Linked DNA regions of Arabidopsis thaliana. The protein of the gene in region 2 purifies or fractionates together with the protein of the main gene of each other region. This does not show direct contact. Each region holds a gene or a part of one and is shown on either strand. Other genes may lie near its edges.

Region 1 (4,943 bases), on a different chromosome or scaffold from region 2:
CTATCTTTTGAACTTATACTACTCCAGACGGTAGCCGGAGAACAAGCTGGCCTCCGAAAACGCTGTAAAGAAAAATGTTGAAACTTTTGAGATATATACAAAGAGCTAAATAGCTAAACTGTTGAAGTGAAGGACTAATGCGTACCTTTTGACGTAGTAGTAACAGAAATCTGCCAAGATGAAAGTTTGAACAATTTCTGAGATCAGAACCATTGATGGCCACAATCCATAACCCAATGCTACAAGCAACCGTCCCCGCGTGTCCACAACCTATTTTCAGCACATTAGACAATGTATTCAGCTATTCAAAATCGACTTTTAAGGTACTAATCCAATCGAGTATAGGAATCACCACTATTGGTATAACCTCTATCCACTCTTGAAGATCAAAACTAACCTGTAAAACCCAGTGGGCACAGCTGAGGAACCTTGCTACTCCAAGTGCAAAAACATAATGAGCCGTGAACGGTTCAACAATCTGAAAACCAAATAGACGCGGATTAGAGAGTAAAACAAATGTAGTTCTCTACTTGACATTGTGAAATAAAGTAGTGACCTTTGTGTTCTGCATCACTCGTAGCTGAGGTAGTACTGAAACAGCTTCAAGGTATACACATAAAGCCCATGAAATTCTGTTTATTATGTTATGAGAGGTCGATGGATGGATGAACACAGCTAATGCAACACAGGGCGCAAGCTGCAAAAATTGAAATCAGATCATTGTCACTGTAAATGATAACAAACAACTCGAGGATCAAAACCAGATTGACTTACCACATAATAGAGAGGAAAGTTGTCTTTGTCCTCCATGTAACTAGCTCTTAACTTGAAACGAATCATAAATATAACCCAGAGAGTTGTTCCCAAAGTAGCCAAGTCAAGAATGGTATGTATATCATATTCCATTACAATGCTACAATACAGCCTAACAGCTAAAAATATCGCCGTAAGCTCCTGAGATTTCAGTGACAATCCTGCAAAATCATTCACAAAGTTATATAAACACATCGAAGGTAAACACTTTCGATTTAAAAAAAGAACCATAGAATGCATCTTAAACCCTAAATTGCCAATTGAATCCTTGATTATAAAGATGATGATTCTACGAATTACGGCTAAAGGCTGCTTCCGGGAGCAGATAATAGTGGTAAACCAATGAAATCCTGATCAAAGCTCGAAAATTTGGACGCGATTATGAGGAAAAACAAAAAAGTTGTGACGTTGAAAAGTAATTTTGCTAAGAACAGAGGAATACATACGATCAGAAGCTGATAAGGCAGGACTGAGTTGAAAAACCCTAAAAATGGATGTGATAAAGACAAGACACATAGAATAGTACCGGCACAGGTCTTCTCCTTCATGAGTTTGTAGATGAGCACACAGATCCCGATGGAATGAACAGCCTCAGCGGCAACGAAGAGATTGTCGTGATCGTGAACAATGAATCTGAGAAGAACCAAAGCCGCCATGCCAGTGACCACGGCGAGAAAAGCCTTCACCTTCGGAGGTTGTCTCCTAACCCATGACCACACCACGTGGATCGGAGTCTTCGTCGTCGCCTTCATGTTTTGCTTTTTTTCGCTTTTCTTCTTCTTCTGTCTCTGATTTTCTCGGCAAAAGTGAAAAAGGTAACTTCTGATCGAGAGAGATTAAAAAGTCTGGTTTTGGTTGACTTGAATGTAAATTACCAAATCACCCCTTCCACACATCTCTTACTCTTAAATACTAAATGAGCCGTGACTGAATCCATAAATTAGGCCCATAATCGTATCTATTGTTTTTCTAAAAGGCCCATGAATGCCTTCGTATATATATGTTCGTTCGGTTAATCGTCTTTCTTACCAACCTCACCCGACGACGGTGATTTTAGGGATTTTCGTGTTCGTCAAGGCTCGCACTGAGGTTTTAGGGTTTTGCTCCTCGGCGATTTTGCTGGGCCTTTGGATTTGAAATCTGAAGCTATGTGGAACATTGATGGTACGTCCTTAGCTCCTCCTGGTACCGACGGTTCGAGGATGCAGACACCTTCACATCCCGCTGATCATCCTTCTTACACGGCGCCTTCTAATCGGAATACTCCGACGGTTCCTACTCCCGAGGATGCAGAGGCGAAGCTTGAGAAGAAGGCGAGAACATGGATGCAGCTAAATTCCAAACGGTACGGCGACAAGAGGAAGTTTGGGTTCGTGGAAACTCAGAAGGAGGACATGCCACCTGAGCACGTTAGGAAAATCATCAGGCGAGTTTCTAATTTTTCAATTTCGATTTCGAAATCCAGTTGACTGGGAAACGAATCTGGTCCAATTTCTTTGTATTATTAGGTTTGGGTTAAGTTAGATTGAAACTGACTCTGCGTTTTGATTCAGGGATCATGGTGATATGTCATCAAAGAAACATCGACTTGATAAACGTGTATATCTTGGAGCACTTAAGTTCGTTCCTCACGCAGTTTTCAAGCTCCTGGAGAATATGCCTATGCCCTGGGAACAGGTAATTATTCACTTAGTGATCTATATCTCGCTTTAGTTGTTCTCCTGCTCTGCTCAAAATTTTGAACTCAGATATTTTCCAGGTCCGGGACGTGAAGGTCTTGTACCACATCACTGGAGCTATTACATTTGTGAACGAAGTACGATGGGTTGTGGAACCTATTTACATGGCTCAGGTGGGTGAATAATCTCCCTCTCTCTTCTTTTGTGTCTGTGCATTTGTGAATTTGTGAGACATGTTTTCTAGTGATGATTCTTTCGTTTGCAGTGGGGTTCTATGTGGATAATGATGAGAAGGGAGAAGAGGGATCGTCGTCATTTCAAGAGAATGCGGTTTCCACCATTTGATGATGAGGAGCCCCCTCTAGACTATGCTGATAACCTGTTGGACGTTGATCCTCTAGAGGCAATTCAGTTGGAGCTAGATGAAGAAGAAGATTCTGCTGTGTACTCTTGGTTTTACGACCACAAGCCACTTGTAAAAACAAAAATGATCAATGGTCCAAGTTACCAGACGTGGAATCTCTCACTTCCAATTATGTCAACCCTTCACAGGCTTGCAGCCCAGTTGTTGTCTGATTTGGTTGATCGCAACTACTTCTACTTGTTTGACATGCCATCATTCTTTACTGCAAAGGCACTGAACATGTGCATACCAGGTAACGCTATACTCTATGTTCTCCTGTTCTGATATCTTCGTTTTCACAGTTGTTGTCCTTCTGTTCTCTTTCCCTGATTCAATTTGGTACTCTTTTTCAGGCGGTCCTAAGTTTGAGCCTTTGCATCGTGATATGGAGAAAGGAGATGAAGACTGGAATGAATTTAATGACATCAACAAGCTTATAATTCGATCCCCTCTGCGAACTGAGTACAAAGTAGCTTTCCCACATCTGTACAATAATAGGCCCAGGAAAGTAAAACTCTGTGTCTATCACACTCCTATGGTTATGTACATAAAGACTGAGGATCCTGACCTTCCTGCCTTTTATTATGATCCATTAATTCACCCCATAAGTAACTCTAATAACACTAATAAAGAACAGCGCAAAAGTAATGGTTATGATGATGATGGGGATGACTTTGTGTTACCAGAAGGACTGGAACCTTTGCTAAATAACTCGCCACTCTACACTGACACTACAGCTCCTGGCATTTCATTGTTGTTTGCCCCTCGGCCTTTCAATATGAGGTCTGGGAGGACTCGGCGGGCTGAAGATATACCCCTTGTTGCAGAGTGGTTTAAGGAGCACTGGTAAGCTAATTTTTCTGATGCTACTGTGGTTCTCTTTCCCCTTTTGAAATTTACTAGACATTGTATTAACTTCTTAGTTATCTCATTTTCTGCAGTCCTCCAGCATATCCTGTCAAAGTTCGGGTTAGTTACCAGAAGCTTTTGAAATGTTATCTACTGAATGAGCTGCACCATAGACCCCCTAAGGCTCAGAAGAAGAAGCATTTGTTTCGATCTCTTGCAGCTACAAAGTTTTTTCAGAGCACCGAACTGGATTGGGTTGAAGTGGGTCTGCAAGTCTGCCGGCAGGGGTATAATATGCTGAACCTGTTGATTCACAGGAAGAATTTGAACTACCTGCACCTTGATTATAACTTCAACCTCAAGCCTGTGAAAACTCTGACAACCAAGGAACGAAAGAAGTCGCGTTTTGGAAATGCTTTCCATCTCTGCCGTGAGATCCTCCGGCTGACAAAACTTGTAGTTGATGCAAATGTCCAGTTCCGACTTGGTAATGTTGATGCCTTTCAATTGGCTGATGGCCTGCAATATATTTTCTCCCATGTTGGGCAATTGACAGGTATGTATCGTTATAAGTACAGGCTTATGAGACAAATCAGGATGTGCAAGGATTTGAAACACTTGATCTATTACCGTTTCAATACTGGTCCTGTGGGTAAAGGACCAGGGTGTGGATTTTGGGCTCCAATGTGGAGGGTATGGTTGTTTTTCCTTCGCGGAATAGTTCCTCTTCTAGAACGATGGTTAGGGAATCTGCTTGCACGTCAATTTGAGGGGCGTCACTCAAAGGGAGTGGCCAAAACAGTCACAAAACAGAGAGTTGAAAGCCATTTTGATTTGGAGCTTCGAGCTGCTGTCATGCATGATGTTGTTGATGCAATGCCAGGTTCGCTTCTTGCGTCTATAACTGATTTGTTTTTCTCAAGGTCGATTTCCTTTAATTTTATCTCTTCCTTGTTGGTTTATACTGTCTTCTAATGTGCAGAGGGTATTAAGCAAAATAAGGCGCGGACGATATTGCAGCACCTTAGTGAGGCATGGCGGTGTTGGAAAGCTAATATACCATGGAAGGTCCCTGGATTACCTGTGGCAATTGAGAATATGATCCTCCGATATGTCAAGTCTAAAGCTGATTGGTGGACAAATGTTGCTCACTACAATCGTGAACGTATCAGAAGAGGGGCTACTGTTGATAAGACAGT
Region 2 (4,077 bases):
CATCAGAGTTTTTATGTTTCAAGTAATTTAATTAATCATCACTGTTGTGTTTGCATTGTTATATAAATGTTGTGTTGATATAAAAGAAGAGAGCGTTGGTTTGTACTTTGTGTGAAGATTTTTTAAAAATATAGTTGGTTTATTACAATAAATTGGAAATTGTGTTGCCTTGGTGGATCACAGGACCACCATTAACCATTATACCTTATACCTTACGCTATCATTTCATCACCAATAAATTGGCCCCATTACTTGGCACCATTAGCGATACCCACGAGGATCACTGCGTACTCACACCCACCGGTTGTTATAACTTATAACTCAATTTTGATATGACTACTTAATACTATATCTTATTTCAATCATCGAATTAAATCAATTGAATGTTTAGACTTTAGGGACTTTCCTTCTGCAGATTAGTATAGACTCATACTAATGAATGTATCTCTTGTGATTAAAAAAAGAAAAAATTCAACTGAATTTGACTATAGAATTTATTTTGAACTGAAAATTATGAGTCACTAACCAAACGGTCGATTCATCAACGTAAATTCAAAATGTATATTGTTTTTCGTTTTAATATAGTAATGAAAAATTAACTAAGAACCAATCATATATTAACCAATTCAAAGGCGACGTGATACAAAAAAAAAAAAAAAAGTATTAACTACAAACAAAGACCATATAGATGATGAAGCTCACAAAAAGTTGCTTGATCTCTACTTTGTCCAAGCAATCAAACCAAGGACAAGCTTCAAAAACATTACTAAAGCTCTATCTTGCGTTTCAGCAGATGATCATACTCAACACTAACGGTCCAAATACAACTACACGAGATCATTCCAAAACATCCCCTATGACGAGAGCTGCAGACTAATCCTCCTCATAACTTGCTTACTCTTTGAACTGCCATTCTCTTCTGCACATTGGGCAATGAGCTTGGCTCGTCTGCGAATTCACCCATTTCAATATACAGTGAAGATGAAACGCGTGGTTGCAGGCTCCCCAAACTGCCCAAACACCAAAACACCAAAACAGATAAGGTCTAAGGCATGCAGTTTTGTTTTGAGTTATTACCATAAGTAAATGTTTAGCAATGTTTCCGTAAGCAAGAGAAATAGTGGGTGTTCTAAGCAACATATATAAAAGCGAAGACATGAAAGAAGAGAACTTTACTTAGAGGGCAATCATCTCCAGGAAGTTTGCAATCAGGACAACAACCATCAAAAGCCATCCGACATATCCCACATGTTTCGTCTTGAGCATCCCATGTCCATGAAGCAACTGCATGCCATCTATTCCAGGGAGAAACAATCAGTTACAACAATAGAAACTCCGCATTGTAAGAGCTCATGTGTTAAAGCTAAAGGGACGAGGAACCTACTCTGTTTTTTTTTTGGGTATGCAGGACAGAAGTAGCATAGAAAGTCAAGAGCAACAATTTCGTTTTTCTTCTTTTACTTGTGCAACAAAGCGAAATGCAGGCATTTTGAACAAACCTAGTCTATTAAATAAACCAATGGAAGATGCAAAAAGTTATTATGAATCATCAAGCTGGGAATCTAACTCGGTAAAGCTAATACACGATAAACAGACTTAAGATGTTTATTATCATATCAGATGATCACCATCAAAAGTCCTGGGATGATTTATCACTTAACCTAATATAAACTTTCCCCCAAAAAAGCTAAGAAGAGATGAAGCAACAAAAGGATACGCAAGATCTTGACTTTCATAGCTTCCTCCTGGATAAATAAAAACCTTCAATCAGTTTCAAAAACCCTGTTATAAGCCTAAAGATGGTTACAGACTCGTAAAATTAGAGACTACTAACAAAAGACTACACAAACAAAAACTCAAGGTATAACTCTTCTGTGCAACACGTATACAAGACGTATTTGAAAGTTAAGCCTTAAGATTAGATAAAAATATCATAAACCAAAACAAAGACAAAATATGAAATTTACGAATTGAATGTTTTCTCTTTCAGGCATTTAATCGAACAACTGGTATGCCAAAATCAAACTTAGATCAGTGAACTCCACAGAATCATCGGAATGAGAATGAAGAACGATCATCAGTACCGAACGCAGAATAAATCAGTGCCAAGCAACGGAATTTGAGCGTAATTATCAAGAACTAATTATCTAAAACTGGTACCACATTACAAAGTCCGAAAAACAAGATCAACAAGAACATACCTAAAAAATAAGTGTGAAGATCGATGGTGTAGCCGAACGATGAAATCGAAATAGAAAAATTCTTAACCGGGAAAGAAATTTTGCTGGCAATGGCGAGAGGATCGGACTTGGGAAAGAGCGTGACGAAACGAAACGAAGGAGAAAAAGAGACGGACGTGTTTCATTGATTTTGGCCCGAGAAATAAATTGGGCTTTAAGATTAAAAGCCCAAATAACGGGTTTGTTTTTACTTATCCAATCTACGAAAGTTATGAAGAGATCATATGATGTCACTAATCTCGATATCTTAATTCTTAAAAGTATTGAAACGATGGATTATATTAAAACTTTTTTAATTATGATATATACATGTTGGATATAAACATATCTCTTTTTGGATTTGATCATTCATATATCTGAGAATGTTTGATCATTTTTTACGAAGAATATGTTTATTTTCAATATTACTAGAACACTACAAGTTTACAACCAGTTAAATACCTTTAGTACTAGTAAATCTTATTTAAAAGAATAATTTTTTTTTTACAAAATCTTACGTAATATACTTGACAACCTGTAAAATTAGTTGAATACCAAAAAGTATTTTATCATATCCAAATATAAATCATTAGAGAAGATGCAATGTATTGAATACATTTTCTAAATCTAGTTATTAGTCCTATTGTCCACGAAAGGTAAATAATTTTATTGAATGTACATATTAGCTGTTATTCAAACTAAAATAATAAATATTTATAATTTGTATTTTGATGTACATACTTACATAGAAAACAATCTCTAAATTTAATTACAATATATATATCTTCATCATCTAAATGGAAAGTTCTTTTATTGTTCTCATATTATTCATTCATAACCAGAATTTATGATGTAATCTTGATGTAGCCAACTCAAAAACTTTGGCCAATAATTTTTGTTATTTGTACCAAGTGGCATAACTATGCATTATTTCATATTAATTAAGAACTTTGGTGCATTTAATTACAATATTTTTAATTGCCAGCTATTTGTGAGATCATCACTTGAACAGTTGATTGTTCCATATAAACAAACTCATGATAAAAACAATACACAACATACAACAATACAAAACATATTTGATACTAGACATACAAATTCCTTTTTATTGTTGTCATTACCATGACGAGGAAGAAGCTAAACCTATCTTACATCACCAATGAGTCAATGAGAAAAGCAACATTCAATAAGAGAAAGAAAGGGCTTGTGAAAAAAATCCACGAGCTTTCCGTTCTCTGCGGAATCGAAGCATGTGCAGTGATTTATAGTCCGTTCAACTCAAACCCTGAAGTCTGGCCATCGAATTCAGAAGTTAAAAATGTAATGGAAAATTTTGAGATGTTGACAAAGTTGGAGCAAGAGAAGAAAATGGTGAGCCACGAAGGTTTTATCAGACAAAACATCTCAAAAACTATGGAGAGTAACAACAAAAAGATGATCGATAATGCGGAGAGGACGATGAAAGAAGCCATGTTCCAACTTCTTAGTGGAAAAGGGGAGAAGCTTAATTTGACTGATAGAAACCGTGAAGATTTGTGTAAGTACATTGATCAATATCTTAAAGAACTTTATCACCACAAAAACAAAACCATAAATCAATCACATATTGAACCTGGAGAATCTTCGGGAGCTACAAATGCCATGACACCAACATCTGTTGTTGAAGTGAGTTCTTATTCCTTTCCAATTATCTCGATGTTTTCAACTCTCCTTGACTAATCAATGATTTCTCGTCTTTGAAGCCTATTATCTCTTCAATCCAGCGACCAAATCAGGTTAATATCTTCTCCAGTAATTTTCTATCTAGTGATGCTGACCAGTAAAGTTATTCTCTAGTGATAAATCCATTTGGTGTTTA
Region 3 (4,760 bases), on a different chromosome or scaffold from region 2:
TCAAAAAACATTTATGTGCTGTTGAGACAACAAGAAAGAAATAATATAGGTCCCGATATAAAGAAAGACTGGCTTGAAGCAGAAATAAAGTTACAAGGAATATCTACAAAATGATGAGTTCATTTACCCCAGGTTCCTCTAGTGGATCTCTTAGAATCAGATGGGAAGACATGCATGGCATATCTCTTTTGCTAATAAGGTCATGCGCGACTGGGGAATGGAAGTTTTGTGGTGAACTATTCCCAACTTCTTTTCTTTGGCGCAGCATCTCACGAGAACCAAGGATGGGGCTAACAGGAGAAAATGGAACATGTGAGGGTGGATTCACTTCACCAGCTTGCTCAAGAAGTAGACCACATGGTAGAGGCCATATTGATTTGACAGTACGCATTAGTGGAACAGATACAACTTCGCCTGTTGCCAACAATTGCCAAAAATCAGAAAGTAATTACCTCAGCTAGTGTTACCTCAGAAAAGAGACAAACAGTACTGATTAATCAGATCTAGTCAACAAGTAAAAAGGAATACGCAATATATTTCCAAGAGCAGATGAAAGGAAACTAGAAATAGAACGGCTAAAAGTTAATCAATCAACTTGAACGTTCAAAAAGCTATCAATGCACAGAAAGCTACCTGAAATCTATTCTTCATAAACCGATTCCATAAATTTTCATTTGTAATTACACAATTTCAAATGAATCATAAAGAAAGGGACCAACTATGTGCACCAGTATGAGATTGTCCTTTCGTTAGAAGCAAACCATATAAGAATCCATTAGGGTATAATGGAAAAAGTCGGATAGTGCAGAAATATTATAGTTCAGAGGTATCTAGCCACAATTACCTGATGTGTTGTAGATTGTTAAGCAAGCAATTTGTAATACACAAAGAAAAGCTTCTGTCCCTCGACCAAGGTTGCTCCAGCATGCCTATGACATAAAAAAGCTATGAGTTAAAACAGTCTTTCTGACGCATCAAATAGATGGAAAATATTTTTGTCTATGTTTTTGTTAATTCATGTGGAACAGATAACGTATCCACCAATACAACAGAAAAGCATTGTTAAGACATAGCTAGATTTGTTTAATCAAGGATTGTCACAGATAAGAATCCATAGATTTTCAAACGGGAAAACTTGAGAGACAAAGAGCCAAAATTCTAATGGAAATCACCTTAATGACGGCAGAAGACAAGGTAAAACGCTTGAGGACCCGCGAACCGCTTGTCCAGATTATGCTATCATCAAATCAAAATTTCATCGTCAGGTACAGAAACGAACCGCAATTCAGCTAGATACGTTATACCAATATCCAATGAAATTAGCTTCTACTAAAGCATAACCCTTACGGACATTACTGGAAGAAAGAGGCAAACTTGAAGAATAGGAAAACACATTCGAAATTGAAGTGATAACAAATTCATGAAGTGGTGCAGAGTTATAGAGTAATCAGCAAATTGTATACATTTCTTACCAGTTGTCTCGGATGAAGAGCTCGTGCTCTCTCTGCCGCGAGAAGTTGGCATCATTGCCATCAGCATCATCTCGCTCGCCAGTGAGCTCAGGATCGAAGAGGAAATACTGATAGGAATCATCCGGTGATTTACCATCAGTAGCTTCGGCGATTAGACCGAAAGGTTTAAACTTTCCGAGGACGGTAAGTTGGCGAACCCCTGGAGGCATTTTTTCTCCGAAGCCAACAGGCAATGGAGATTGGTGAAGTTTAATTTACACTCTCCCGCTCTTTCCAAGTTGTCTTAGCGCTTAAACCCTAGTCTTTTCTATTTTCAAAATTTTATTTGAGATTCTCATTTCTCTTTAAACCTGCGGGTCGAAATCGTTTTATGAAAAGTAAGCGAGACAGAGGAAGATAACATTGAAGAAGAAGAAGAAGAAGAAGAAGAAGAAGTGAGTAGGAAGAATTGTCACTTACATTAGAAACCGGATAGAGAGGTTTCAAACGAGTTCCGATGATTGTCGAGGCTCTAAACTGAACGGAATGAAGAAAGTGAGGTTCAAAAAAGTATCGAAAGTCGGAAGATTTCGCTTAGTGAAAGAGAGATGTTCTCAGAGGAATTTAATCAAACACTTTCTGTGCTAGATGCAATGAAATCTGGGACGAAGTCTGAGCTTATGAAAGACAAAATTTAAACATTGGAAAGAAGTAAAACTTGAAGGCTTAAAATGAAATAAAACTAAAATATTTCCAACTATTTGCTATTGACCCAATCTGTCACTTTTAGAGGTTTATTTATGTAATCTTTTTAGTTTGAGGTTTGTTTTGGGATAAATGAAAAATTATGAGGTTTTTTTTAACAGTTTAATCATAAGTACTAACGAGACCAAAGAGATTGGTTCGGTCTTAACGGATAATCGCCGTTGGGACCAAAACGCTCCAATACGGTCAGTGACGTCACCGCCGGTCATCAATGTCAGGCCACACTTATCCTCTTCTCTCCCATTCCGGTTTCCTCCCACCAAAAAAAAAAAACTTCTTTTTATGTTTTGTTTGTTTCTATTCCGATCTTATCCTACGCCGTCACTCTCCTCCCGGTGCGCACATTAGCAACACTACTCCCGACGAATGGAGACGACGACGCCGCAGTCAAAATCAAGTGTGTCCCACCGACCGCCGTTGGGAAGAGAAGACTGGTGGAGTGAGGAAGCGACGGCGACGCTGGTAGAAGCCTGGGGCAATCGTTACGTCAAGCTGAACCACGGAAATCTCCGGCAGAATGACTGGAAAGACGTCGCCGACGCCGTTAACTCTAGACACGGTGATAACAGCCGTAAGAAGACCGACTTACAGTGTAAGAACCGGGTCGATACTTTGAAGAAGAAGTACAAAACAGAGAAAGCTAAACTCTCGCCGTCGACTTGGCGTTTCTATAACCGCCTCGATGTTCTAATCGGTCCCGTTGTGAAGAAATCGGCTGGCGGAGTTGTCAAATCAGCGCCTTTTAAGAATCATCTGAATCCAACTGGATCGAACTCTACTGGAAGCTCTCTTGAAGATGATGATGAGGATGATGATGAGGTTGGTGATTGGGAATTCGTTGCTAGGAAGCATCCTCGTGTGGAAGAGGTAGATCTGAGTGAAGGATCAACGTGTAGGGAACTAGCTACGGCGATTCTCAAGTTTGGAGAAGTTTACGAGAGAATTGAAGGGAAGAAGCAACAGATGATGATTGAGTTGGAGAAGCAGAGAATGGAAGTGACAAAGGAGGTAGAGTTAAAACGAATGAACATGTTGATGGAGATGCAGTTAGAGATTGAGAAATCAAAGCACCGGAAACGCGCAAGTGCTTCAGGTAAGAAGAACTCACATTAGGTTTTCAAGTTACTAGTGGTGGCTTAGACTTTACATGGTTGTTACTCTTTCTCTTTAAACCGCATAATGTATCCGTGGAAGGACCTTAGATTTCAACAACAATGTTATACCTATGCTGTTAGTTGTTGTAAGCATGGATGAGGCTGGTTAGTAATTGACTTATTGTTGATATGTGAAAGTCATGTGCCTCTCTGCTTTTGAAGAATACCAATTTTGTCAATATACAATTCAGTTGAGCTTCTGTGCTTCCAGTGGTCTGGCAAGGAAAAGTCTAGATAGCATTCTCTTACTTCTTTAGCTTCTCCAGCTTCGTGGAATGTTGAACTGGATTAGGAGGAGTAGACTTCCAGGTTTGAAATTGAGAAAAAAGATCAATGTTCATAGTAGTCGAACATTCTTCATATGGTAATGAGTTCACTGAAGTTTGATCTGCCTTTATTGTACAGGTAAGCAATTGTAGAATTAGATTGGTGGAGGAAATACCATGGTGAAGCAAAGAGGAGTTACTTGAATCTGAAGCTCATTGAAATTGGAGGATCCTGTTACTTGTTTTAATCTGTAGGATGGAAGTTAGAGAACTCTTTAGGATGTCTTTGTTTGTTTTCTTCTACTTTCTAGCGTGTTAGTGTACATTGGTGTACTGGAGCAAATCTTCCTTAACTCTTTAGTAGCTGACAAGTATGATCTACATTTGTGTTAGTGTCCACGTATAATGATGGCTTGTGTATCCAAACTACAGCTTCTGATGCTTAACAGTTACATGTTTATGCTTCTTCTTGGGCTTTTTCATGTCTAAATTTTTATCATAACCACTTATCATAAGATATATATAATACATCCACAAGTATGCAGTTGCATCCGAGTATCTTAAATCAATAGTCTCTGAGTTCTTTAACCTTTAAATTGGCAAAATACTATCCAAGGTTCATTAAGGGCATCAACGATGACCAAACACAAACTAGAGTCACAGTGAAAGCAATTTTCAAGAATCCGGACCAATTATCATCTTATCATTTTGCTTTGAGTTCTTGATTTTCCTTGATATTATCTTCTTCGTTTGACATTGCTTCTCTGTTTTCGTCTGGACAATGGTTTACACCTGCGTCTATCTCTGGTCCCTTTAGAATGATTTTCTCTCTTCCGTTTCTTAGAACTCGCATTATTCTCCTCTGCTATGACTTCCCCAACCAAATCATCTTCGACCATTTTACGAACGAGAACATATAATCTAGGTTCTGATGAACTCGGCTCTAGAAAGATCTGTTTTTGTGACAACCCCCTCGAATCCTGTAAGAGAAATACATAGAAACTTGTTATATCACCACCATCTGTGAAATAACCAAAGATATGATGCTAAATTACCTTTCCAAAGTCTCCAGCAATGTTTTCAAATGCTTGATTTGCTTCTTCTGGACTTTTAAAAACAACAAT

The links.
Region 1: the proteins of APC11 (region 2) and AT4G38780 purify together in Arabidopsis thaliana (affinity purification with mass spectrometry, with the first as the bait; one large-scale study listed by BioGRID). This does not show direct contact.
Region 3: the proteins of APC11 (region 2) and EMB2771 purify together in Arabidopsis thaliana (affinity purification with mass spectrometry, with the first as the bait; one large-scale study listed by BioGRID). This does not show direct contact.

The regions. Positions count from the first base shown.
Region 1 is NC_003075.7:18,108,048-18,112,990, reverse strand, and holds the start of AT4G38780 (pre-mRNA-processing-splicing factor-like protein), read left to right. Parts: upstream 1-1,950; 5' UTR 1,951-1,961; coding exon 1,962-2,158; intron 2,159-2,366; coding exon 2,367-2,490; intron 2,491-2,572; coding exon 2,573-2,665; intron 2,666-2,757; coding exon 2,758-3,148; intron 3,149-3,248; coding exon 3,249-3,741; intron 3,742-3,836; coding exon 3,837-4,627; intron 4,628-4,726; coding exon 4,727-4,943. Other genes in the region: AT4G38790 (ER lumen protein retaining receptor family protein), read right to left, coding at 14-62, 146-270, 398-478, 557-697, 775-974, 1,340-1,565; AT4G38781 (uncharacterized protein), read left to right, coding at 1,798-1,950. UniProt on the Arabidopsis thaliana protein: Functions as a scaffold that mediates the ordered assembly of spliceosomal proteins and snRNAs. Required for the assembly of the U4/U6-U5 tri-snRNP complex.
Region 2 is NC_003074.8:1,751,620-1,755,696, reverse strand, and holds APC11 (anaphase-promoting complex/cyclosome 11), read right to left. Parts: upstream 2,409-4,077; 5' UTR 2,202-2,408; exon of another isoform or gene 1,746-2,201; 5' UTR 1,737-1,745; coding exon of another isoform or gene 1,708-1,736; 5' UTR 1,423-1,707; coding exon 1,385-1,422; intron 1,298-1,384; coding exon of another isoform or gene 1,296-1,297; coding exon 1,177-1,295; intron 1,011-1,176; coding exon 895-1,010; 3' UTR 556-894; downstream 1-555. Other genes in the region: AT3G05860 (MADS-box transcription factor family protein), read left to right, coding at 3,342-3,884, 3,962-3,994. UniProt on the Arabidopsis thaliana protein: Component of the anaphase promoting complex/cyclosome (APC/C), a cell cycle-regulated E3 ubiquitin-protein ligase complex that controls progression through mitosis and the G1 phase of the cell cycle.
Region 3 is NC_003076.8:1,638,373-1,643,132, reverse strand, and holds the start of EMB2771 (E3 ubiquitin ligase), read right to left. Parts: upstream 2,583-4,760; 5' UTR 1,932-2,582; intron 1,823-1,931; 5' UTR 1,682-1,822; coding exon 1,473-1,681; intron 1,237-1,472; coding exon 1,173-1,236; intron 930-1,172; coding exon 845-929; intron 415-844; coding exon 128-414; intron 1-127. Other genes in the region: AT5G05550 (sequence-specific DNA binding transcription factor), read left to right, coding at 2,583-3,309, 3,582-3,604; SDN2 (small RNA degrading nuclease 2), read right to left, coding at 4,374-4,616, 4,692-4,760.